Linked DNA regions of Drosophila melanogaster. The protein of the gene in region 1 interacts with the protein of each later gene in a pairwise test. Each region holds a gene or a part of one and is shown in the gene's direction. Other genes may lie near its edges.

Region 1 (7,836 bases):
AATGGTTATTTACGATTGAATAAAAGCGAATACATCCTAAAACTATTTTGTTGGACTTCAACTAACTTAAAGCTTATATAAAAAGATATTGTGTTCATGTTAAATATTTTCTTTTTAAATTAATGTAAGAAATGGATAAACCATAACCAAGCGACCATGCGAATTTTATAAAACGCAACCCACCACCGGGAATTACAGGTCAGGAAAAAGAGCTAGTGAACTACGCCATGTTTTTGTAACTATGATAGAAAATCGTCGGCCATTAAAATGGGAAAACATTGAATACGAATAGTACTGAAGGAGCAGTGAGTTGTTTAAGTAATAATACTACTTACCAAATTATATTTCCTCTCTGATATGATTATGATAAAATCCCATTCAATTGCAAAATTAAGTTATAGACTTGTCGATTTTGCAACATTTTCATAGTAAAGCAATCGCTCTCCATTTTAGTTAATTTTTCTATCATTTCTCGGTGTTCTGAAAGAGGAAAAAATGCATTGAGGTTTTCTATTCCGATATATGTATGTACATATGTACATAGATACATCTATTATTTCAATGACTTATTGTACGAAAACCAAGAGAATTTCATTATATTCTACCACTAAAGAAGTGGCTATACTAGTCTTTCTTTTTCGACTAAATCTTCACTTTGTAGCAGAACTTTAAAACGTCCTTCGATTTGAATGTCTTCTTACACTCTTCACCTCGTCTTCTCTATCAATTTCTTCTCCCCTTTCCCCCCTCACTTTCTATCACATTCCTTTGAAGATCAGCTGTAGCGGTTAGAATTTGGCCATATCGAGCGTAAAAATACATAGAGGAAGGCACTAAAAACAGCTGCAGCTCAAGAGCGAATAAAGGTCGCCCCCGTTCCGCCCTCTCTTGCTCTTTCATCCCCTCTCGCACCAACCCACACACTTTCACACACACACACACACACGTGCACTGCGTAGGGAAAAGCAGCGCAGTTGCAGCAGAAAAACAGATAAACAGCAAAGCAGAAAAGAGGCAGGTTGCTCTCTCTCGCTCTCACTTGTGGGCTGGACTACAGTCGTTGTTGTTGGTTTGGCCAGCCTAAAAACGGAGATCGCACGTGTGTGTGTGTGTTTGTGTGCGGTGTGTGTAATGCTTATGGCTGTCTTGCTGTTGTTGGTTTTGTTGCCCTTTTGCAGTTGGTGTTTGTTTTTATCTCACACTCGCACACACACATGCAACCGGCCTATGCAATCGAACGAATACGAATGGTAAATAGCATGTGTGTGTGCGAGCGAGAGGTTTCGCTTGTTTTTTTTTGTATTTTAGTTTTCTGCCTTCCGCCTTGTGGTTTTTGTTGTTGCTCATTTCGGCTTCTTGTGCGTCCATTGGGCATTGCATTCGAGGTGTGTGGGTGTGAGTGCAAGTGCGCAGTTGTGTGTGTGTGTTCGGACAGCCTCTCTTTTTAAAAACGCATAAATGTTGATTACAGTAAATTGACAATTTGTTGTTGTTGCTATCTCGCTTTTTGGGTTTATGTTTTTGCACGTGTCTGATTGGAATCCTGTACCGGCTCCTTTTAGACTTGTTAAATAACGAAACCTATGTACAATCATTTTTTTAATCATTAATTTGCTATCGAATAATACTAAAGAAATAAAATTTATTTTAATTTGCATGCAATTTTTTTTTATTATAAGTCTTATTGTGATAAAAGTTTTTGGGAAACACATGGTTATGATGTTAAAAAGAACATAAAACCATATTAATAAGTGCTAATATGCAGTTCAAATATCGCTTTATAAAGTGCTGACATAAATGACCAAATTTCTCGAGAATTTTAGATGTATTTACCTTAGGTATGAAGTTAGGTTACATCTGATGAATATTAAAAATGCAAAGCATTGGTTTTAAGCAACGAAAACAAAGATCAAAGTCGTCGATTAAATAAATCCCGACTAAATTTATTGCTTATTCCCGGGAACTTACACTTTTTGTTACTTCTCTTTCGTGTTTCTTTCAACTGGATTTGTCCCGCCAATTTTCCAATCAAAATTTCTGACAGAAAAAAGCTAAGCGCTCCAAAACCTTGGGTTGTAGCGTGCCGAAGAGCTGATTGCTATGAAACACTGTCCTATTTGACAGCCGCTAAGCGCTAGAGTTGTCACCGAAAATGCGTTTTTACTAGTGCGAACAATAAAATTACCTGCGCAAAAATGGAAAAATGGGATAAAAAACAAGATGAGTAGCAAAGAAAATATTTAAAGATATATTTGTACTGAAATTAAACTGAGAAGGAGGTGCAAACGTGTTGCAAAAAAATTGAATTCACATCTAGGCACCCTAGCAACCCTGTCATTTTGACATTGCCGCTCACACGCACGCCACACAGACGCACGTTAGTCACAGCAACGCACACACACACTACCAAACGGCTACATTTTTTTTCGAGTGTGTTCGACATTCATAATTTTTGTGGTGGAGCTGCCTGCAAAATCGAATTTTATCAGTTTGCCAACGAAGTTATCGGCCATAACTGCAAATAAAGTTCAGCAATAACTTGGCGCTGTTACGATGTGAGTTTGTGTTTTATCGAAAGTTGCATACTTTATCTAAAAACCATTGTTTTTGTCCAAAAATGTTGTAAATGCCCGAAAAAATACCAAAGTGAGAACAACAACAACAACAGCAGCAAAAAAAAAGCAGGAGCAGCAGCAGCAGAAGAAGCAGAGGCAGCAGATAAAATTTAATATAATATCGAAGAAGAGCAAGAAAAAAGCCGTAAAAGTTGATAAATCGAATATATATGTGTGTGTGTGTGAAAAATAATAATTGCGGCGTTCGCACCAAGTATTCGCCGTTTTTTTCTATTAACTTAAATTCGCCAAAAAAGCGGCGTTTGCTTTTCTTCTTTTCTTGACTCGCCCTCTTTGTCTCACCCATCCGCATATTCTCTTTTCGCCTTTGTCTTTTTCGTGCGCGTTGTCTGCATTTTGTCTGTGTGCGTGGGTGCGTGACTCGCTGTGTCTGTGTGTGTGCGTATGCAAGCGAAATTGTTGCTTGTAAAAAAGAAAAATCTTATTTGGTTTTTTTTTTGTAGTTTAATTGCCAACATTATTGATTTTTCAAGCGGTTCACCCCGTTTCTCCCCCTCCGCATTCCTCCTGTCCAATCTGCTTCTTCTTCCTCTGCGGAACTACGTGCATTTGTCACCCAAAAGGGAAATCAATAAGTTGGTAAAACAGCGAAACGCCGCACATTATGGTTAAATTATTGCTGTTTTCGCGTTAATAACGCAATTTCTTTTGTTTGCTTCGAGTGTTTTTCGTTGCTGTTGTTGTTGCTTTCGCAATACAATTTCTGGAAATTTTGGGGCATTCATTTATTGCCTTTTGTTTCTGGTTTATCTGCGTCTTTCTTTCCCCTTCTCCTCTTTATTTTACTTGATTTTCCGTGTGTCTGGGAAATGTAAACAGTTAAAGGAGCCGCAAGGTCACGCTAAAGGAGTTGGCAATAGTGGGTGGGCTTTGACTTACACAAGCAGAAATTTATTTTGAACTTCGCAAAAAGTGTAACGGAAATAAATCCAGAAAATATTGAAAATATTGGTTTACAATATAGTCTAGATATCCAGAATCAAGTTAATAACTTTGAATTCCGTTCATATACTTCAATATAAATATTATTAAGTACTACAATTTGAAAACATCTTTAAATATACAACATATTTTGAATTAGTTTATTTTTTTTTTTAGCCACATAGAGACATCTTTGTGGCATGCTAAATTCTGTAGTAAAACTTTCTTGGGGAAAGTGAAAGCCACGTATCAGACCAAAATCCACCCAACCCTGCACACACGCATCCCCATAAAGAACGACCTTGAGCTGCAAAAAGGAAAATTCTCTTTGACTTGCCACGCTCTTCCCCAAGAAAACCAAGTGAAACTCCAATTTACTAATGCTACTATTTCACCGATACATGTAGTTGAGCCCTTATTTAAATTAGTAATTAGTTTAATTTCACAGTTGAAACCACGACTGTAAACATTAGGGATACTAATTTATAGTCTTAATTAACGTTGAGTGGATAGTGGATGATACCGAGGAACTACTTAATTGGTTAACTTCACTCCGATCTCGTTTGCAGCTCAACGAGAAGGTCCAGACTCAACCCGCGTTTCCAGTTCACCGCGTAAAAGGAACCAGCTAAACGATGTCCAGCCTGCCACGTCGCATCATCAAGGAGACTCAACGTTTGATGCAGGAGCCAGTGCCTGGGATCAATGCCATTCCCGATGAGAACAATGCCCGTTACTTCCATGTGATCGTGACCGGACCGAACGATTCGCCCTTCGAGGGCGGCGTGTTCAAGCTGGAGCTGTTCCTACCGGAGGACTATCCAATGTCAGCGCCCAAAGTGCGCTTCATCACGAAGATCTACCATCCGAACATCGATCGTTTGGGCCGCATTTGCCTCGACGTGCTGAAGGACAAGTGGAGTCCAGCCCTGCAGATCCGGACCATATTGCTATCCATTCAGGCACTGCTCAGTGCACCCAATCCCGACGATCCGCTGGCCAACGATGTGGCTGAGTTGTGGAAGGTCAACGAGGCGGAGGCCATTCGCAATGCCCGCGAGTGGACCCAGAAATATGCCGTCGAAGACTGAACGCCCGAGGTCAGGAGGAAAGTCAGAAAGCGGATCCGTCAGTTGTATCGGCGTTTTTCCAGAAAGTGGGTGCGTGACATGAACGGGCGGGTGGGTAAATTGAATACTTTAAAAGCAACCAGAAAAACCTAAAACATACGAAAGAAAACATAAAATAAGAAAAAAGTAAGGAAGCAAACATAAAAAAAAACGATTTAAGAACACATTTTTTTTTCGAACCTTCTGGGGCGGGATATACATATAAAATATTAATATATATATTTTTTTCAACCAATCGATCGGGGCGATCGGCGAAATGGAGGAGAGATAGCGAAAGCATTCTTTATGTAAGACGTATACATGTATCCGAAACAAACTAAAAACGAAAAAAAAAAAAAAAAAAAAAAACAGTAATTGGTTTTAGTCGTTTCTATTGATTTGTTCGAGGGTTCTGGTGTCTATATACATATAGCCGTATATAATTCTATGTGTAACTGAAATAACCAACCCATAACCATTAACACATGTAGCATCAGATATGATAAATCAATTGGAAAGGCAAACAAGAAGGGATTTTGATTTCCTTTAACTCGTCATTTGAAAACTCGGCTTAAATGTCAATTCAAAATAGAGAATTTTGATTGTATCATTTTCAGTGTTTCAGAAAATTTAAGATGTGATCGTCCAACTTGTAGACTTTACTTTTCTTAACTAAGAGTTCACCATTTCGATTGATACTTGAGCTTTGCCTGGGTTGTGTCAGAGTCCCTTTGATAAACGATAAATAGTTTTTACTCGAAAACAATTTTTTTTAACCAAACAATGAAGCCTTTAAGCTATTAGTAATTTTTGAAAAAAAAAAAAATAAAAAATATATATATAAAAAATATACAAAAATATGATACATGATCAAAATACAATGAATGCATACACTATATATTTATACAAAAAAAATACAAAAAGAAAAACAAAAGTAGTGGCTTGATTGCGTGAAAATTTCAAGTGCAGTTCTCAACAAAAATTGTGTACAGTAATTAAATGTTTGTCACCGAAATCACTAAAGGATAATCCAAAAAACAATAGCAACCGAAAAGCAACCATAAATCAAAGAGTAAGCGAAAATAAAAATTCAGTTTTCTTTAATTTTAATTAATTTTTTTCTAAGAAAAATAAATAAAAACGAAAAATTCAAATAAAAATTATAAAAAATAAACCGAGTTGTGTTTTATTTAAATAGTTAAGTGGTAATATAACTGAATGGTAAGTTTATTAATTAATTTAAGTGTTAAAAAATTACTGAATTTATAGGATTTTGATTTGGATACTATTTATAAATAGTATCAGCCGATGCTGCCTTGTCGAAACAATGACATTTGATTTGTTTTTGGCCCAACTGACACATAAAATATCGTATGCATAACATATTATGAAATAAAAGAACTAATACTTATTATGCCAGCCGAACATAAAACGAATTTTCGAGTCTAGAGTTCCCATCTGGAAGGGCATGACAGAGTCCTGGCAGGCCTTTTAGCACGTGTCAAAAACTCAAAGAAGAAGACGATGACTTTGAAGTCTACAAATCATATTTCTCTGAACAAGTGAACTGGCAACATGTCGAGCTCGTAAGTAACTAGGTTTTTCCTATAGAAATTATAGCAAGTCACAGTAAAATCTTGTAGCCAGAACAACAACAGCAGCTGGATCGATTGGTTCCTCGGGATCAAGGGCAACCAGTTCCTCTGCCGCGTGCCCACCGACTACGTGCAGGATACGTTCAACCAGATGGGCTTGGAGTATTTCAGCGAGATACTGGACGTGATCCTGAAGCCGGTGATCGATAGTTCCTCTGGCTTGTTGTACGGCGATGAAAAGAAGTGGTACGGCATGATTCACGCCCGATACATCAGGTCAGAGCGTGGCCTGATTGCTATGCACCGAAAATATATGCGAGGAGATTTTGGATCGTGTCCCAATATCTCCTGTGATAGGCAGAACACCCTGCCAGTGGGCGTCAGCGCTGTATGGGGCAAGTCAACCGTCAAGATCCACTGCCCACGGTGTAAAAGCAACTTTCATCCGAAGTCTGATACACAGCTGGACGGAGCGATGTTCGGGCCCAGCTTCCCGGACATCTTCTTCTCGATGCTGCCGAACTTGACATCGCCCCTGGACGACCCACGGTAAGTAATTCTCCGAATATAGTCCTGGTTGTTTTCTAAACAAAGCGCTTGCACTTGCAGTACCTAGGCTTTCGGTTGCACCAAAGAGCTTTGACGCAACTCAAATCGCCCAAGCCAAAGAATATAATATAATTAATTTTTTTCTAAAAAAAATAAATAAAAACGAATGATTCAAATTAAAATTAAAGATAAATCGAGTTGACTTTTATTTAAATTGGTAGTGTAACTGATTGGTAAGTTTATTCAATTTTATGTTTAACAAGAGAGAATGCTATAGTCGTACAGATATAGTCGTATATGGAATTCCGCGACTATCAGATACCCGGTACTCATCTAGTGTGTACGGATTATGAGCGGAGTCACCCGGTGCTTCAGCTGTCTTAACAGCGGATTAACATTTTATATATCGATGCTAATTGAACTGAACTGTATTCTTTCTTTCTCTCTTGTAATTTTGCGGTCATAGCGATCAGACGTGATTTTTGTATATGAAAAAATAAATGAAGTTAAATAGTGTATATATGATTCTTATTTGCGAACCCCATTACAATGATGTCAAAGCAGTGAGGCATCACAACTATTCATTGGTGGCCCATGAGGGGAACCTTGCTCATAAGAATCATAATTAATAATTGCTAAAAGCTGTTTGGCAATTTTATCTTCGTGGTCGGCTTCATCCAGATAAATCACCGTGCCTACGTTTTCTATCGCGCTCGCTCTCATCACGACAGAGCAGTATACGCAAACATTCGCGCTCGCTCTCATCACGACAGAGCTAAGTCCCGTTGCCCTTCGATTCCGTTAGATTTGCCGGAATCTCTGCCAACTCAAAAAACAAGACGTCAAAGAAGAACACCGATAACATACGAGCATTTGTGCATTACATACAGTGGAGCAACGTCAGTATAAACAATGTCGAAATTTGATCAACTGGTGCGAGTTCAAACTGACCGCATTGAGTCTTTGAAGCGCTTGTTCAGTAATGTGAAAAAAGACTCGAGTGCGCGGAAAACGGAAATATATTTC
Region 2 (9,742 bases), on another chromosome or scaffold:
TCCGCAAAGAAGTTGAGCAGAATTAAAGTAGAAAAGACGCAGAAAGGTATCTATAAATGTAGAAAGTCATAGCAGAAGTAGTTATAGAAATCCGTAATCTAAGGCCGTAACAGAAGACGTTATCCAGTAAACCAATGGTGACATTGCCAAGCTGCCTTTAAACCGTCTCTTACTTTTTACTACCATTCTGAGAACGTAAACTATCCATTGTTATTAAATACAATAAAAACATATATAATTATAAATTAACATATAGTATATAGGAGCCGGAGTCAAAATTCTGATGCCAATGAATTCGGCGCCGACTTGCGTACTATTCCTGCCTGCGCAAGTCTAAATATTAAAGTAAAATATTTCTTGCACTACTTTTTGACCTTCCTCATTTTGCTTGGTTTACTCACAATACATTCTCGTATAAGGCCTCTCAAATCACTCAACTTTACAGAAAGCTGACAAAAGTTGACGTCGGTACCAAATTTGACTTTCATGCGACAATTCATTAAATTCAAAATCTTTGTGCAAAGCACTTAATGTTAATAATTGTATATCCGAGAAATTAAACCCAATATATTTATAGCTTAATATCCCTTAACTTTTACTTCATCTTATTTGACAAAAATATATGTATTACTACATTACTAGTGATTATGTCCAAATGTTATAATTAGGGGTAGCAGTGCGCCGCAAATCAGAATTACCAATTCACTATATTTTAGTGCTTGAATACTATTGCTTCCATTTATATCATTCGTAGCAACACCTCGAGATTCCTCTAGCAAACAATAATCATGCTGATCGCTTTTCGTAAATCCCCCTTGGGTAAGCTCTGGTAAAACATGCACAGTTGCTACGTACAAAAATGTTCCAGCGGAGAATAGCATAGCTATACCAGTGGCATTCACGGAATTTAACGTGTCCTTCTGCTCCTGTCCGATCCCAAAATACGTTAAAATAGTCATAAGGGGAGCCGACAGGGAAAATAAGACTAGGTGTCTGCGAATTTGATGTCTGTCTACTTTTTCGTGCAGTAAGAATGTCACTAATCCAAATGCTGCTGGTGCCTTATGAAGCATTATAGCTAAAAATACAATTATCTCAACGTCTTGATGGCTAGTGGTGGCAGCTGCTCCCAATGCAACTCCATCAGCTGCAAAAGAACAACAATTTTTAAGATATGGTGGGTACACCAATATAAGCTTCTTTACCTGCGGCATGCACAACCAATCCAAGAGTTAGTGTGGCATTGTTTTTTTTATTACTTCCAACATTACTCTTCCGCTGAGAGATGTCCACCAACATCATGAAGACAAATCCAAGCACAAGAGAAAGTCCAATGGTCTGTGAGTAATCTGGTTGCTCCGGAACTGATGTCCGTTTTTGGGATTGGCCACTCCCCACATACAATGATCGAATGCCCTCCGGAATAATAACAACGAGAGCAGTTCCCACTAACAATCCAGCTCCCAGCACAGTGACACATTTTAGCTTTTCCTTTAATGACATTTATTAAGTAGAACAAATTAATGCACTAGTGGTGCTCCAAATACCTCACATTAAATTTTTTTTGTATTTAAAATGCCATTGTTTAGTACCGACCTCGCTTAATTTCATCAGCATCGGTATGCTCCCTGCCAAATAAGACCCCACAAGCATAACCAACACTAATAAAATGAGAATTATTGTCTCCTCAGCCATGATTGCCCAACTTAATTTTAATGAGCATAATACCATCAAAGCTACATGTTTTTGCCAACTCAATCGCTAGAGATGAGCCTTATTAACATTTTAACAACGCATATAGCAGCAACCAACTGTGGAACTTATACCATATTCTACAATAACACTTCAACCAAATTAACATCTCATACCACAACAGAACTATACAATTTGTTTTCTTCTCATCCCGTTAAAACTCGCGATCCTACAGACGTACGAAATTTTCCCAGACTGTGAACAATACCTTTAAGTTATTATATTTCATGTCTTACCCACTGGCTTATTATACAAACTTATTGAAAACGGTTTTAGATGGTCCGATACAAATGTATGATACCATTTTTAATTTATATATAATATATATAAAACATATATAATATAATATAATATAATATATATAATATAATATAAGATAATATATATAATATAATATATAATAATATATATAATATTATATAATATAATATAATATATATAATTTATATATAATATATATTTAGAAATAGTACCAAGCATTCTCAACCGACTTTTAACCGATTTTTTATTTGCTCTCATGTGAAATTTAAAAAAAAGAAAAAACCTTTAATGGTTTTAAGAATAATTGTTCGAATGGAGCTAGTGAACCAAATTTTCTTTAAGCTATTGTTTATCGGAAAATTTAACTTGTTCGCAAAACCTATAGTAGTTGCTCTACCTTTTACTGGTTATGATCGGTCACCAGTTAATTTTAATATTTTAAATAAATTCTGTAAATATATTAAAGTGTGCGGTATATAGTATTTTCCTGGTGTCACCGTGTGTTATCCTACAATAATTGCTCATTTGGCTTATCTATATATCGTCAGAAATCACATAACATAAAAAATTCTAGATCCTTATAATTTATTTATTTAATAAGTTATTTAGGGATACATCACTCTCTCGTACTACATGGAGGGTTGTATTCCGTATTATGATTGTATAGCGCAACGTGAGAATGTAATTTATCTCAGTGCACAACGTGTATTACACCATTTACATAAACAGTTTGGTAACCTAAGGTCATACTATTAACAGCACTGTTGATTTTGGTTTATTTATTGTCAAATAGGTAAAAAGTCTAAGCATATGGAATAAATCAGGCTTTATTAAATCGAATCTAGTCTAATTTCAAAGAAAGTCACATTTAATGTTTTTTTTTTTTTAAATCAACTAACTAAATTGTTTCTGTTTATTATGAAAGTTGTGTATACATATGTGCATTTTATATACATGCATGCGTACTTATTAATTTAAGATTTCTTGGGGATTGGTACTAATTGGTACTGTATATGTGAGTTTTAAACGTTTCATTATTTTGCTAATTTCCGATAAACTTATAAAATTAAATGAAAATAGAATAAGTCGTCCAAGGTTTTTAAGAATAGATGGATCACGAATATTTGCACCTTCATCTGGCGTTCAGAATTGGCAAAAACAGGATTCTTCCAACGTTGAGTGACGAATCGTAATCAAACAAATACATCCATATAATTTAATGAATATCTCGTTTTGTAACACTATTTTTTTATTAGTTACTACAATTTGCTCAGTGCGGAGTAAAGGTAATGCATCAATAAATAAACAATCGTTGTGTGATGTACAAGTGTTCATCGCAAAGTTTAAAACGAGCCAAGCCAAATCGCGTATGAAATAGTATAATAAATCTTTTAGCGATTGGTACTTCCCCTTAACAAGCGTGTGTATAAATATCCTTAAAAGTAAAGTCCAATGTCAATGTAGTGTAAAACATACACGATAAGGATATTCAACAGATTGAAAGTATCTAGACGTCCATATGAAAAAAATATCATCATATCATATATCAATTTCCAGTTTTTAAGGAATGGAAAGTTTTCTTCAGTTTTTTCCGTTAAGAAACAAAAATTTTTTTAAGTAAAGGTGTAGAAATATTAACTATAACAGATCCTAGATTTTATATCATTATACGCGGTACTCGTTTTTTTTTGAATATTTTTATGTCTTGGCAATCTTTTATCGATAAACAACACATCGAGATTTTGCAGATGTGGGGTGATATGAAGTCAAAAAACATATGTTACCCATCAAACTACGATGCAAGTTTGGTAGAAAAACACTATTTACCTTCGAGACCAATTTTGCTCCTTGGCCCAACCAGTTTCCACTTTTTATGTCTTCTTTAGTTTCGGCCAGGTCTATTGGCGGCAGGTATTTCCTTAATCCTTGTGGCCGCACAACTTTCAAGATTTAAGCTCTATGTGGGAGCTGCATATAGAGGTTTTGGTTTCCCAATCGGAAATTTTTGCAATCGTGATTTTTCTCGTTCGCTAAAACAAAAAAAAAAAGCTTTTCTTTGGCTCGGTCGCGTAAATGGTCTTCTTTGATCTTCCTTTTACTTTGTGTTTGTTATGTACAACTTTTAAAAAAAAGCTTACACTGCATTTAAATATAAAGTTTTACAACTTAACTAAAATACAAGATAAAACGAGCCGTATAAATTTTCTTTACGTGTGCATATATTTCAGTTAAATCTTCGAAAAACGCATGAAATGGGTAATTGCTTAAAAATTAGCACTTCAGATGACATTTCACTTTTACGCGGCAATGACAGTCAAATCAGCGGGACACAGCCAGTGTATCATGTAAGTACCAATGCACGGGTGCGAGTTTTAACGATAATCGTCGATTTAAAGAAGTCCAAAATTTACTAATTTGTAGTCTTTTAATCTTCAACAATTACATTAAAAATGTTTTTTATGAGTTTATCGAAATATTCTTGGTCAATAATTATTTTTAAAGCAAAGGTTTTGTATAAAACCTGGCCTTCGAAACTAATTTTTTGATTATTCTTAACGAAGATATTTGCAAAATAATGTATTTTTATACTCAGTTTTCTCTGTGACAGTTTCAAAAAAATTTCCCGAAAATAAAAGTGTTGAGAAGAAAAATTTTTCTAACTTGTAAGATACTATTAAATAGTAAAGTAAATGGCATCGCTATAAATTTTTGAGGAATTATGGATTACTTGGCAATCAAAAAAAAGGAAATTATTGGGCATTTTAAAGATTTCTTGGGGATTGGTACTGTATATGTAAGTTTTAAACGTTTATAAAATGAAATAATAAAAAATAAATAATAAATGAAAATAAATAAAAACGTCCAAGGTTTTTAAGAATAGATGGATCACGAATATTTATACCTTCTTCTGGCGTCCAGAATTGGCAAAAACAGGATTCTTCTAACGTTGAGTGCCGAATCGTAATCAAACATCCATAGAGTTTAATGAATTTCTCGTTTTGTATTATTATTAGTTACTACGATTTGTTCAGTGTCGACGAAAGGTAATGCATCAATAAATGTATAACCGTTGTGTGATGTATTAGTGTTCATCGAAAAGTTTAAAACGAGCCAAGCCAAATCGCGTATGAAATAGTATAATAAATCTTTTAGCGATAATATACTTGCAGTACGAAGCTTAGCTATGTATTGGTACTTCCCTCTAAACAAGCGTGTATATAAATATCCTTAGAATTAAAGTCCAATGTCAATGTAGTGCAAAACATACACGAGAAGGATATTCAACAGGCTGCAAGTATCTGGATGTCTATATGAAAAAAAAATCAGACATTTTTTTAAAAGAGTGCGCGTGGCAGTTTTGGGAGGTTTGTTGTGGTCGAAGCAGAATGTTTTTTGTCAAATCGATAAAAATTGTGGACGTGGCCGTTTTGCTTGCTATGAGAGCCCACAATTGAAAACAATCTGTCTATAATCTTCATGCTTTATGAAGATTGCTTTCATATACAAAGATCGGTATGGCCAGATCGACACGGCTATTAATTCGGATCAAGAATTAATATACATTATAGGGTCGAAACCGCTGTCTTCTGCCTGTTACATGTTTTTCAGCGAGTAATTTAACTCAATTGATTTCTGACGGCAGAGTGCGCGCGAGAAGCAAAGCGAAGCCAGAAGCTATGAGCAAAGCAAGAAGATGGCAGAGTGAGTGCTTTGCGAGAATCGAGCAACATTGCTGTCTTTTAGTTATTAATGTGAACGTGATGGATTCGGACGAGGAATTTTTTGCATCAACCACAACTTTTAGCTTTCTGTTAATAAGAAAACTGGCGTCCAATCCCTTAACTGCAATATAAATGGAAAAGGCTAAAAGGCGAATTTATTTATGTAATCACTAACGAAACCACTCAGAAAGGTTCTTTAATGTCTACTTCGACTTTTGATTATATTAAAAAAAAAAATTAGAAGTCGTTTGATGAAGAATTGGGCAACCAAAACAAAAAAACATGTGTTTTGAAAATAAACGGTAATAAAAGCACAGTATACAACATCGTACCAAAGACGATAGAATAACAAGATGCGTAACGGCCATTCTACATTGGTTTGGCACTATACAGTCAGTTTTTTGGGGACGTCCAAAATTGCTCTCTTTCCGCTCGCTTACGCTGAGAGCGTAAGACATCTAAAAATTGAATTGGCTTGATTGTGTGAGTAAAAACAAGAGACGAGAATGCGTTTATGTGTGCGTGTTGTGCTAGAAGACGATTTTCGGGACGAAATCAATTCTTATCGAAGAAACGAATTTACATAATTGGGGAGTTTTGGCCAATTTCGTAGCAATATGATGAAATTGCGCGCTTTTTAAAAATATCAAATTGGAATATAACAAAAAATAAAAAAACTGAACAACTGAATCTAATGTGCATTTTAAATAATAAAATTGGATCATTTATATACATCATATTAAGTCAAATGACTTAATAAATATACTAAATAATTAAAGCAAATACAAAGGAAATTATTATAACTACTGTAATTTAAAACATAAATTTTCCAGAAAGAAGACATTACGTTGAAAAATAAATATTTCATAAAAATAATACGTAGTAGAAAATAAAAATTTATAAAATAAATAAAAATATGAAAACTGTTTACTGCAAAAGTCATATCTTGAGGCACAAAGTGCGGACACAAGCACTCAACAATGCCTTATTAAAAATTATTCACACGTCGCAAGCTGAATACTCTAATGACATGTATATATGACATATATATATATATTCTAATATAAAGTCATTTTTGAAATTTTTTCGTGATGTTATGATTCGGCTATTACTATTTCTAAGCTTTATTTAGAAACGTTAAGGCAATGCAAACCAAGAATTTCTCGCATGGTGCCAATTGATCAAAAATAATATAGATTTAAAGTCTAAGATCTTCTAAGGTGAAGGGCATATTTTGTCAAGTTTACAATGCATGAGCATACGTGTGCACACATACATTTGTCTGCTATCACTGTATGCGCAGAAAAGAGCTATTTGCTGTAGCGCTCTCCGCTCTCGACAAAAATTCCAGAGCCTGGAGCCACCTCTAGAGCCACGGCGAAAAATTCGTGTGCCAAAAAATCGTATTCTTTATCGATTGAGCTCGCAACTCGCTTCGCGCAATGTGGCATCTAGCCCGTCTCAACGTTCACAATAATTATAATATTATAATAATCTACATTTTGATTTAACGAATTTGAAATAAAGTATATCCATTGGATTTAATGAAACTTTAATTTCAGCAGGGAGAGCATTATCAACGAGAATTGTACCCTTCCACGTCGTCTTCGACAACGCTAACACCATCTTCTAACAATCGTCAACTTTCCGATGAAAATCAAGTGAAAATTGCAAAGCGAATTGGATTAATGCAGTACTTGCCAATAGGAACATACGACGGGAGCTCAAAGAAAGCACGAGAATGTGTTATCTGCATGGCTGAATTTTGTGTTAATGAAGCCGTACGTTATCTACCTTGCATGCATATTTATCATGTTAATTGTATAGATGATTGGTTGTTGAGAAGTCTAACTTGTCCCAGTTGTTTAGAGCCTGTTGATGCTGCCTTGCTGACGAGTTATGAATCGACATAGCGTTATAAAAACATTAGCTTACAATTTTGCTGCTGTAATGTGTTTTGGGATAACAAAACCTTTGCTTACCAAGTATAAATTAATCTTTTATATATTTCAATTTTATTCTTTATTATATAAATTTGTTATTGTTTTATTATCGAAACATGTTATAATATTTAATTCATTTTAGCGATAACCAAAATCATAATTGCAATACTAAGGAGCTGAAGAATTTGAAATCCAAATTAGTTTGTGTATATATTGTAGTGTATCTACCCTCACTATAACTCTACTCTACATATATATAAGTAACGTACATACATTGTGACACTTTGTTGCAAACACAAATAAACATAATTCACATCAAAGACCACATGCACTTACATAAACACTCCAGCCAATGAAATACGATCTAACGCTTATACATAAGCCGATCGCGGAGCGTGAGAATGCTGAGCATGCACTTAGCAGCTCAAGTGGTCAAGCCATACATAACATATGTATGCCTTCTGCATACACATGTATATGTATATACAATATATACAATATGTACAATATGTAAGAACACCATGTACGGGTAGCTGTACCCAAAGACAGCAACATAGGATTCATTCAAATAAAACGATTCAAACGGAACAGACGCTCTGAGCTATTCAATATCTATTACACTGAGCTATTACTTATTACTTATTACATGGCGACCGTGACTTGGTCTCGAGTCTGCCTCTGTGTTGTGCCTCTGTGTATTGTGATTATGTATCGTGTATTGTGTTTGTGTTAAAAAAAAAAAAAAACAACATTTTGTGCCTATTATATTCAACGTGTGAACACACAAACATAACTAAAATGTACTTGTAGTACTTGGACGCATTAAATGCAAATATATGTTCAATTGAAACAAACAAAGCACAAAAACACACAAAAACACACACAAAAACGCACAAAAACACGCAAACACAGCACACACAGAAGAACAAGCGGCGATTGATGGCAGACGAGCCACAATTCGCCAATGCACAACCACAAGTGCAACGGGACCAGCCAACGCTAGAGGAAGCGTTGCGGTTAAACAACGCCGATGGACCACGCCCACTCACAGTAGCTGAGTACCGGGCACGGCAGGAGAAGAAACAACTACGAAAGCACAAACGCTCAGGACGGAGGATTAAACTACTACAACAACGCCGACTGGTCAAGGAAATGACCCAGTTGGCAAAAGAAGAATCAGCACGACAACGCTACCAAGAGCGTTTGGAAGCCATTGAACAAGAACTTCGCCAAAGTGCGAAGACACGCAAACGGGCTGCTTAAATGCAAATGCCCCAATTTGCCCTAGAATTAAAATAAACCCAAGCCGAGGCGGGAAACCGCTGCTTGGAAATACTAACAAAACTTTATGCTAGGCTTTATACTAAAAAATGTGGTTGGAGATTTTTTTTAAAATCCTATTGAATTGTAAATTGTGACTTGTGAGCCAACCACATTAGCACTATCAAATTTCCATGTCTCTGCCACTGAGTATATATACTCAGTTGCAAATAATTTGTGTAACTTTAACAACTTTAAATTTTCTATTTCAAAATAAAATTTTACATTTTAAATTTAAATGAATAACATTTTAAAAATGGATTAAAAAAAAAATAACTTTCTTAAAGAGAATTTTCTTTCTAAAAATACAAGAAAAAATAGATTTTTATTTTTCATATTATATATATAATAACATTATATATAATACTTCAAAAAAAAACGTTTCATTGAATATATAAAAATATTCAACACAAATTAAAATAAATTTTCTCTTCAATTTAAAATTAGGCAAATCAAATAAATATGATTATAGATGTATACAAGTACAGCGATATTCATAGAACTATTTTAGGGCGCCTCTATACGCGCATTTTTGTTTCTGTCCGTTTTACTGCCTACTGCTGGCTCAATATTAACGCGGAAGAATTACAAGAAATAGCTAGCCGCGACGAAGACGTCGCAATGCATTTTGAGAACGTCATAAATCCAGACGTCTAGGTAGTTTTGATAGACTAAATAAATATTCATACACAAATCAAATAAAAATTAGAAATAAAATTAGGAAACCTAATAAGTAAAACAATT
Region 3 (5,923 bases), on another chromosome or scaffold:
GGCTTCTGCCATTTTGGTAAATCCTTGTGGTTAGTCAATTTTATCCAATGTATCCATTCGTGGGTCTTGAGTTCCAAAGGCTTACTAAAATTTTCAGCCAATAATTCTCTACTAAGCAGCCAAAAAATTGATGTGGTCCCTATGAGTTGTTGTTTTACAAATTAGCAAGCGAATGCTAATTTATTGGATAAGCACAAACGCCCATGCAATCGATTGGTGTGGGGCGAAGTTCTTTGATAAGCTGGCAGTGCTTGGTACAGATTTCACTGAATTTTCATATATTATTATATTAAAATCCAACTTGCCTATAAAACGTATTTAATTAAAATGTTGTTAATTGTTTGCGGCTTAAAAAACCGTTACCAGTGCTGCCACGCTGCAGTTTTTATATATTTAAGCTGAACGCGTGTTGCCATATCAAGTTATAAAAACTTGTGATATCGATATTAAATGGAGGAAAAGACCGTCGCTAATGTTCCGATTGTTACCTCGTTTTCGTAAGTTTTTGGTTACAATCCGAAATTAATTGAAATATCTGGGCTTAACTGAATGTTTTGAAGCAGGAAAACTATCTATAATGACTGGAGTTACCCCACCAAAACGCTCTCCCCTTTGGATCGGCACACACAGCGGCACTTTTCACTGCGACGAGTTGGTCGCATGTTTTATGCTCAAGCAATTGGATGAGTACAAAAACGCAGAGATTTTCCGCAGTCGGGACAACAAGGCTTTGAAGGAGAAGTGCGATATAATTGTCGACGTGGGCGGCGTTTATGATCATGCCAAGAAATTGTACGATCACCACCAAATAACCTTCAAGGAGACTTTTAGTTCCGTTCGCCCAGATGTAAGCGAGGACTACAACGTTGTCAGGTGAATTCGTGGTGTTAGCGTAAATGAACCCGTATAATCCAATGTAATCCCCTCCAGGCTAAGCAGTGCTGGACTGGTCTACTGTCACTATGGCGAGCGTGTTATACAGAGCATCCTGCAGCGCGAAAAGGGAATTAAACTCTCACCGGAAAACCTGCAAACGGCCTTTATTCAGATCTATAGGAATTTTATCAACGAACTGGACGCAATTGATAATGGAGTGCCCATGTTCGAGGGCGTTGAGCCTATATACAAAATCTCCACTCATCTATCTGCCCGCATTGCCAAACTGAATCCGTCCTGGCAGGAAACTGGCGTAGACATCGAAGACCGATTCAGACAGGCGATGGATACTGCAGGTCGTGAGTTTGTGGACAACGTTGTGGAGGTATCATGTTCCTGGATTCCAGCCCGGGATCACGTACGAGAGGCTCTTAAAAATGCCAAGAACGTCCATCCCACCGGCGAGATTCTTGTGTTGAAGAATTTCTGCCCCTGGAAGTCTCATCTGTTCGATCTTGAAAAGGAGTACAAGGTGGAGGGTGTGCCCAAGCTGGTCGTCTTCAACAGCGGCAATAGTTGGCGAGTGGCCGGAGTTCCAGTGACGCCTGGCAGCTATCTGGGCCGCAAATTTCTGCCCACTCCTTGGCGCGGACTGATGGACGATGAACTATGCGATAAGGCGAGCATCAAAGATCTCGAATTCATCCATCACACAGGATTTATTGGCGGGGCAAAAACCGAGGAGGCTGCCATGTTGTTGGCCAAGAAATCCACCGAGTGGACAGAAGAGCAATAATATAATACGACTTAAAGTTATGCTTTTGAAATTGAAAAACAATAATTAGATCGCATTTAATTCTGGTGTTATTACGCATTTAATTCTGGTGTTATTACGTTATACGGAAAAGAAATACGCACATGTTGTACCTAAACAAATTTTATTTGTATGTGTATTTCGGTTAATGTATACAAAATCACCAAGGGAACCTCTAACATCATCTAGTCCATGCGGGTCTTCAGTGTGCGCTCCGTGATCTTGTCCTTCTCGATAATGTAGACGGTGGCACCCCAACCGCTCATGGCGTCGCGATCGAATGCGTTCACAATGGACTGGGCGATGACCTCAAACAGCTGGTCCGGCTCGAGATCGGGTTTCCACAGGGTTTCGCACATGCCATACAATTGCTCCGCACAGGTGCCGGCCACAACGAAGTCATCGGGTGCGTTGGGGCAGCCGATCAGGTCCATGTTGCAGATAAAAGGCTCCATGGTCTTGGGATCCAGGCCAGCAACGACCGGCTCAATGAAGTACGGGCCAAAGCGGTGCTCGTACAGAAAGCTGGACATCATGGCCGAGAAGGGCTTGGGACACATTTCACGGTTTTCGCGTGTCTCGTACAGATTCTTGCGGAACATCAGGCGATCGCGAACAGTAAGGATGTCCGTCTGCAGGCCTGTGAGCCCGAGGAACATCCGTGGGCCGATGTGGAACACCTTCTTGAAGTCCGTGGAGATCGTCTGAGCCTGAATGCCGAATCGGTGATCCGTGGCAATCGCCACGCAGTCCTTTCCGCGCATGGCCACTACACATCCTCCGTTGTAGGCTAGAATCGACATGGTGTCGTTGCTATTCGCTTAGCTCAATTTAATCAGCAGAAAAATGGAAATTTTGCAAAATGCTAAAAGCCGCCTGGGAAGATGACTTTTTGTTTCTGCTCTGCGTTGCCAGACTGCGAGTGTAAGATGGGCTAATACTGACTGGCTGTATAGAACTGGCAACGCCTACTAAAGAGATTTCAAAAAGAATCGCGTTTTTTAAGTATTTTTTAAGTATTAGTATTTTTAAACACAAGTTAAAGTTATAAAATGTTTAAAAATGCAAAAATATCTCCGCGAATGTTAAAACGCATTTTTCTTATCATTTGGATCCTTTTGAAGTAATAAAAGATCCAAATGTTAATATGCCAGTATTAGCTTTCAGTGTGACCAGGCCGCGTCAATCAGTTGGGATTTATTCTCCTCTGCGGCAAAGGCCACTTTGTAAGGGGCCCTTATTTATAGAAAAATTAAATTCTATCCCTTAAACTCCCAATTGTTCCGACTGAACCCAATGACCGGGTAAAGCTAGGCGCGTGTACCTTGTCCTCCTCTTGTCACATCAACGTCTACAGCCGCAAGCAGCCTACATCATCGGAAGGCGACAGTCTTGCACAATCGTCAGTGGAGCCGTTGCCCAGGAAATAAAGAACCTACCGCAGGATGGCAGAGGCAATGGTTGTGGAGGACCGCCCCGCGGAAGCCAAGCGATTCTTCTGCCACATGTGCAACGTGGAGATCAACATTCCCAACTCAGACTTCACCTGTCCGCTGTGCGCCAACGGTTTCGTGGAGGAGCTGCCGGCAAATGCGCCGGAGATGGATTCTTCGACGGCTGGAGCATCCGGCAGTGCCAGATCCGGAAGCAGCGGTAGTGGCTCTTCTGGCTCACACGACACCCTGAGCAGAGGCAGCTCATCGAGCGGATCTCAGGTGAATGTTGAGTCGCTGCGTAACGATATTGTGTCGCTGCTAAACATGCGGAATGTGCCCAACTTGGAAATTACCATCGAGCCAAACAGACGGCACAGCAACGTGCTGCATCTAGGCGGCTTTGGTGGTCCCTCGGGTAGTGACTCTGCCCGCGGCCTGACCGCCGGCGGACGAGTGCGTCCGGCAAATTTGGACCGACTGGACAATGTTCTCTTTGATTTTCTGCAGAGCCTGCCACTGGCCGGCGCCACGGCCGAAATAGTAACTGGACCCGGTGGAGGAGGTGTAGGCGGCGGCGGTAACTCGCACATGTTCTTCATGGGAAACCCGGGAGATTATGCGTGGGGCCGAGAGGGACTAGACACCATTGTCACCCAAATGCTCAACCAAATGGAAACTTCAGGACCGCCGCCATTGTCGGCGCAGCGCATAAACGAGATACCCAATGTGCAGATCAATGCCGAGGAGGTAAACCGCAAGATCCAGTGCTCTATATGCTGGGACGACTTCAAGATTGACGAGACGGTACGCAAGCTGCCCTGCTCGCACCTGTATCACGAGAACTGCATCGTGCCTTGGCTAAACCTGCACAGCACCTGCCCCATATGCCGCAAGTCACTGGCAGACGATGGCAACGATGCGGACGACGAATTTGTCATGCTCGATGCCTTCGGACCAGAGATGGCGGCCGATGGCAGTAATTCCGAAAGGAGATCGGCCAGCACCGCCACAGGAACGGACAATCCCTCGCCGGCTAATAATCCCAGTCAGGCAGCGGCGGAAGGCGGCCGAACACGTCCGGATGCTAATCCCGCCCAGGCAGCACGCAACAACATCTTTACCTTTGACGACGACAACATGTTTCTGGACTAGCTGGTAGGGCGATGCTAAATCGAAGTGGAGCGATGATCGATTGATATTCAAAATTAAGCCAAATATTGGCCGCATATATATTTATAATAGTTTCTCCTCACGCTTAATTTTGTTGTTGTTCAAAATAACGATTTGTAATAAACAAAACGGGACATACGATTCCGTTGGCTCTGCAAAAATCAACTCTCGTTTATCGTATCGCGTAGTTGCTTATTTTTCTTTGTAATGGAACTTGTATTGTACATATATGCGTGTCGTGTATATTTACATAATCAAAATAGGAACTGACTCTGTGCTTGCCTCAAGAAATTCCTTTAATGAATTATTTCAATAACATGCAGCTCGAACGTGTAAAATTAAAATACTTTCTAAAATAAACATCTATTGTAGTCTAGACTTCAAACTTGATATTATTCTTAAACTTTATTGACAACAAGTAAACGGTGTTTTTGTTTTTCAGGTGGATACACTTCAATTTTTATTGTTTATTTTTTTACTGTCTCGTCTGATCCTGGTTGTAAACTTCGAAAAGTTCTAAAGGAAGCTTATTGGCTCACACGGTCTGGTCATACTATTCCGGGAAGCATATGTTCCTCACAGGGTGGCAGCTCCGTCAAATTGTTTAAATTCCCATTTGACTGAAAATCTGACTTAACCGTTTAAGAACTCCGCCAAAATGCGTAAAGTCAATTGAAGTGAAGAATATAACGCCGTGACCAACGAAATAATATGACACACGAAGGAAGTAACGATTTTGTGGTGCTCACCGACGTGGTATGTCTTAGCAAGCCAACTATGTAATATTTGTTGGGGAAGACTTTTGTTTATTTCCGAACTTTTTTGTTTATTTTGCGTAGGTGCGCAAGCAATATGTGCTCTATTTGGAGCGCCAGCTGCAGGAGAATGTCTGCGCCTGGGCCAACCAATCCCGTAATCGCCACAAGCCCACAGCCTGGGCGTGCATTCCCGCGAGCTTGGAGCAACTGGAGAACAAGGCGAAGAAGGCTTCCATGGCGGCACAGATCTACCAAAGAGCCATGGTCAAAACGGTACAAGGTTCCCAGATACATATATTATGCCATGTTCATATAAGTTGTATACCGACAGATAGCTGCGGTACGTAGGAACACTCAGGAATGCCGTTTGGCCAACATTCTATTTGAACAAATGCAGCATGCAGCTGGAGAGGATGCTGTGCCCGTAAAAACAGACCACCGTCTGGTGGATAAGGCCACACAAACAACCGTCATAGAAGCCCAGAATGGCCACATAACTCCTACGGAGGACTACGATGATGATAGCTATGAGCTGCGTAGAAAAATCGATATGTTTCAGGCTAGTCTCGAACGGTCGGAAGTTCAGAACGAAACGCATTGCCCACATTGCCGTAGTAAGATCATGACCCCAGAGAATAAGCCCCTAGCCAATCAAGAATCTCTCTACTCCGAAACCGAAGATGCTGTGGCCCAGGAGTTGGCCATGTTGTTTGGAGAAGAGCCTACTGATCTTAATCATATATTCGGCATCGAACCAACTGCTGTTACTGACGATCCGCAGATCTCGGCCATACTAAAGGAAATAGCGAATGCGGAACTACCTGAAAAAATTGAGCATCCACCCACATCCCCAACCGCCACACCACCAA

The links. Proteins that work in one complex are often made in the same cells at the same time.
Region 2: the proteins of ben (region 1) and Rnf11 interact in a two-hybrid assay, tested with the Drosophila melanogaster proteins (one large-scale study listed by BioGRID).
Region 3: the proteins of ben (region 1) and Iru interact in a two-hybrid assay, tested with the Drosophila melanogaster proteins (one large-scale study listed by BioGRID).

Annotation. Positions count from the first base shown.
Region 1 is NC_004354.4:13,993,969-14,001,804, forward strand, and holds ben (bendless), read left to right. Parts: upstream 1-2,376; 5' UTR 2,377-2,555; intron 2,556-2,647; exon of another isoform or gene 2,648-2,829; intron 2,830-4,126; 5' UTR 4,127-4,192; coding exon 4,193-4,648; 3' UTR 4,649-5,837; downstream 5,838-7,836. Other genes in the region: Ste12DOR (stellate 12D orphon), read left to right, coding at 6,242-6,252, 6,310-6,810, 6,871-6,877. UniProt on the Drosophila melanogaster protein: Catalyzes the covalent attachment of ubiquitin to other proteins.
Region 2 is NC_004353.4:312,152-321,893, forward strand, and holds Rnf11 (ring finger protein 11), read left to right. Parts: upstream 1-2,771; 5' UTR 2,772-3,028; intron 3,029-4,241; 5' UTR 4,242-4,265; coding exon 4,266-4,358; intron 4,359-7,297; coding exon 7,298-7,648; 3' UTR 7,649-9,234; downstream 9,235-9,742. Other genes in the region: Zip102B (Zinc/iron regulated transporter-related protein 102B), read right to left, coding at 639-1,147, 1,206-1,491, 1,597-1,695.
Region 3 is NT_033777.3:9,003,579-9,009,501, forward strand, and holds Iru (iruka), read left to right. Parts: upstream 1-2,877; 5' UTR 2,878-3,135; coding exon 3,136-4,278; 3' UTR 4,279-4,452; downstream 4,453-5,923. Other genes in the region: CG31100 (uncharacterized protein), read right to left, coding at 1-12; CG11980 (uncharacterized protein), read left to right, coding at 473-497, 561-873, 931-1,672; Prosbeta3 (proteasome beta3 subunit), read right to left, coding at 1,876-2,493; CG11983 (uncharacterized protein), read left to right, coding at 5,008-5,052, 5,136-5,327, 5,386-5,923. UniProt on the Drosophila melanogaster protein: E3 ubiquitin-protein ligase that mediates E2-dependent, 'Lys-48'- and/or 'Lys-63'-linked polyubiquitination of substrates. Recognizes miRNA-empty Ago1 and triggers its degradation via polyubiquitination independently of the Bag6 complex.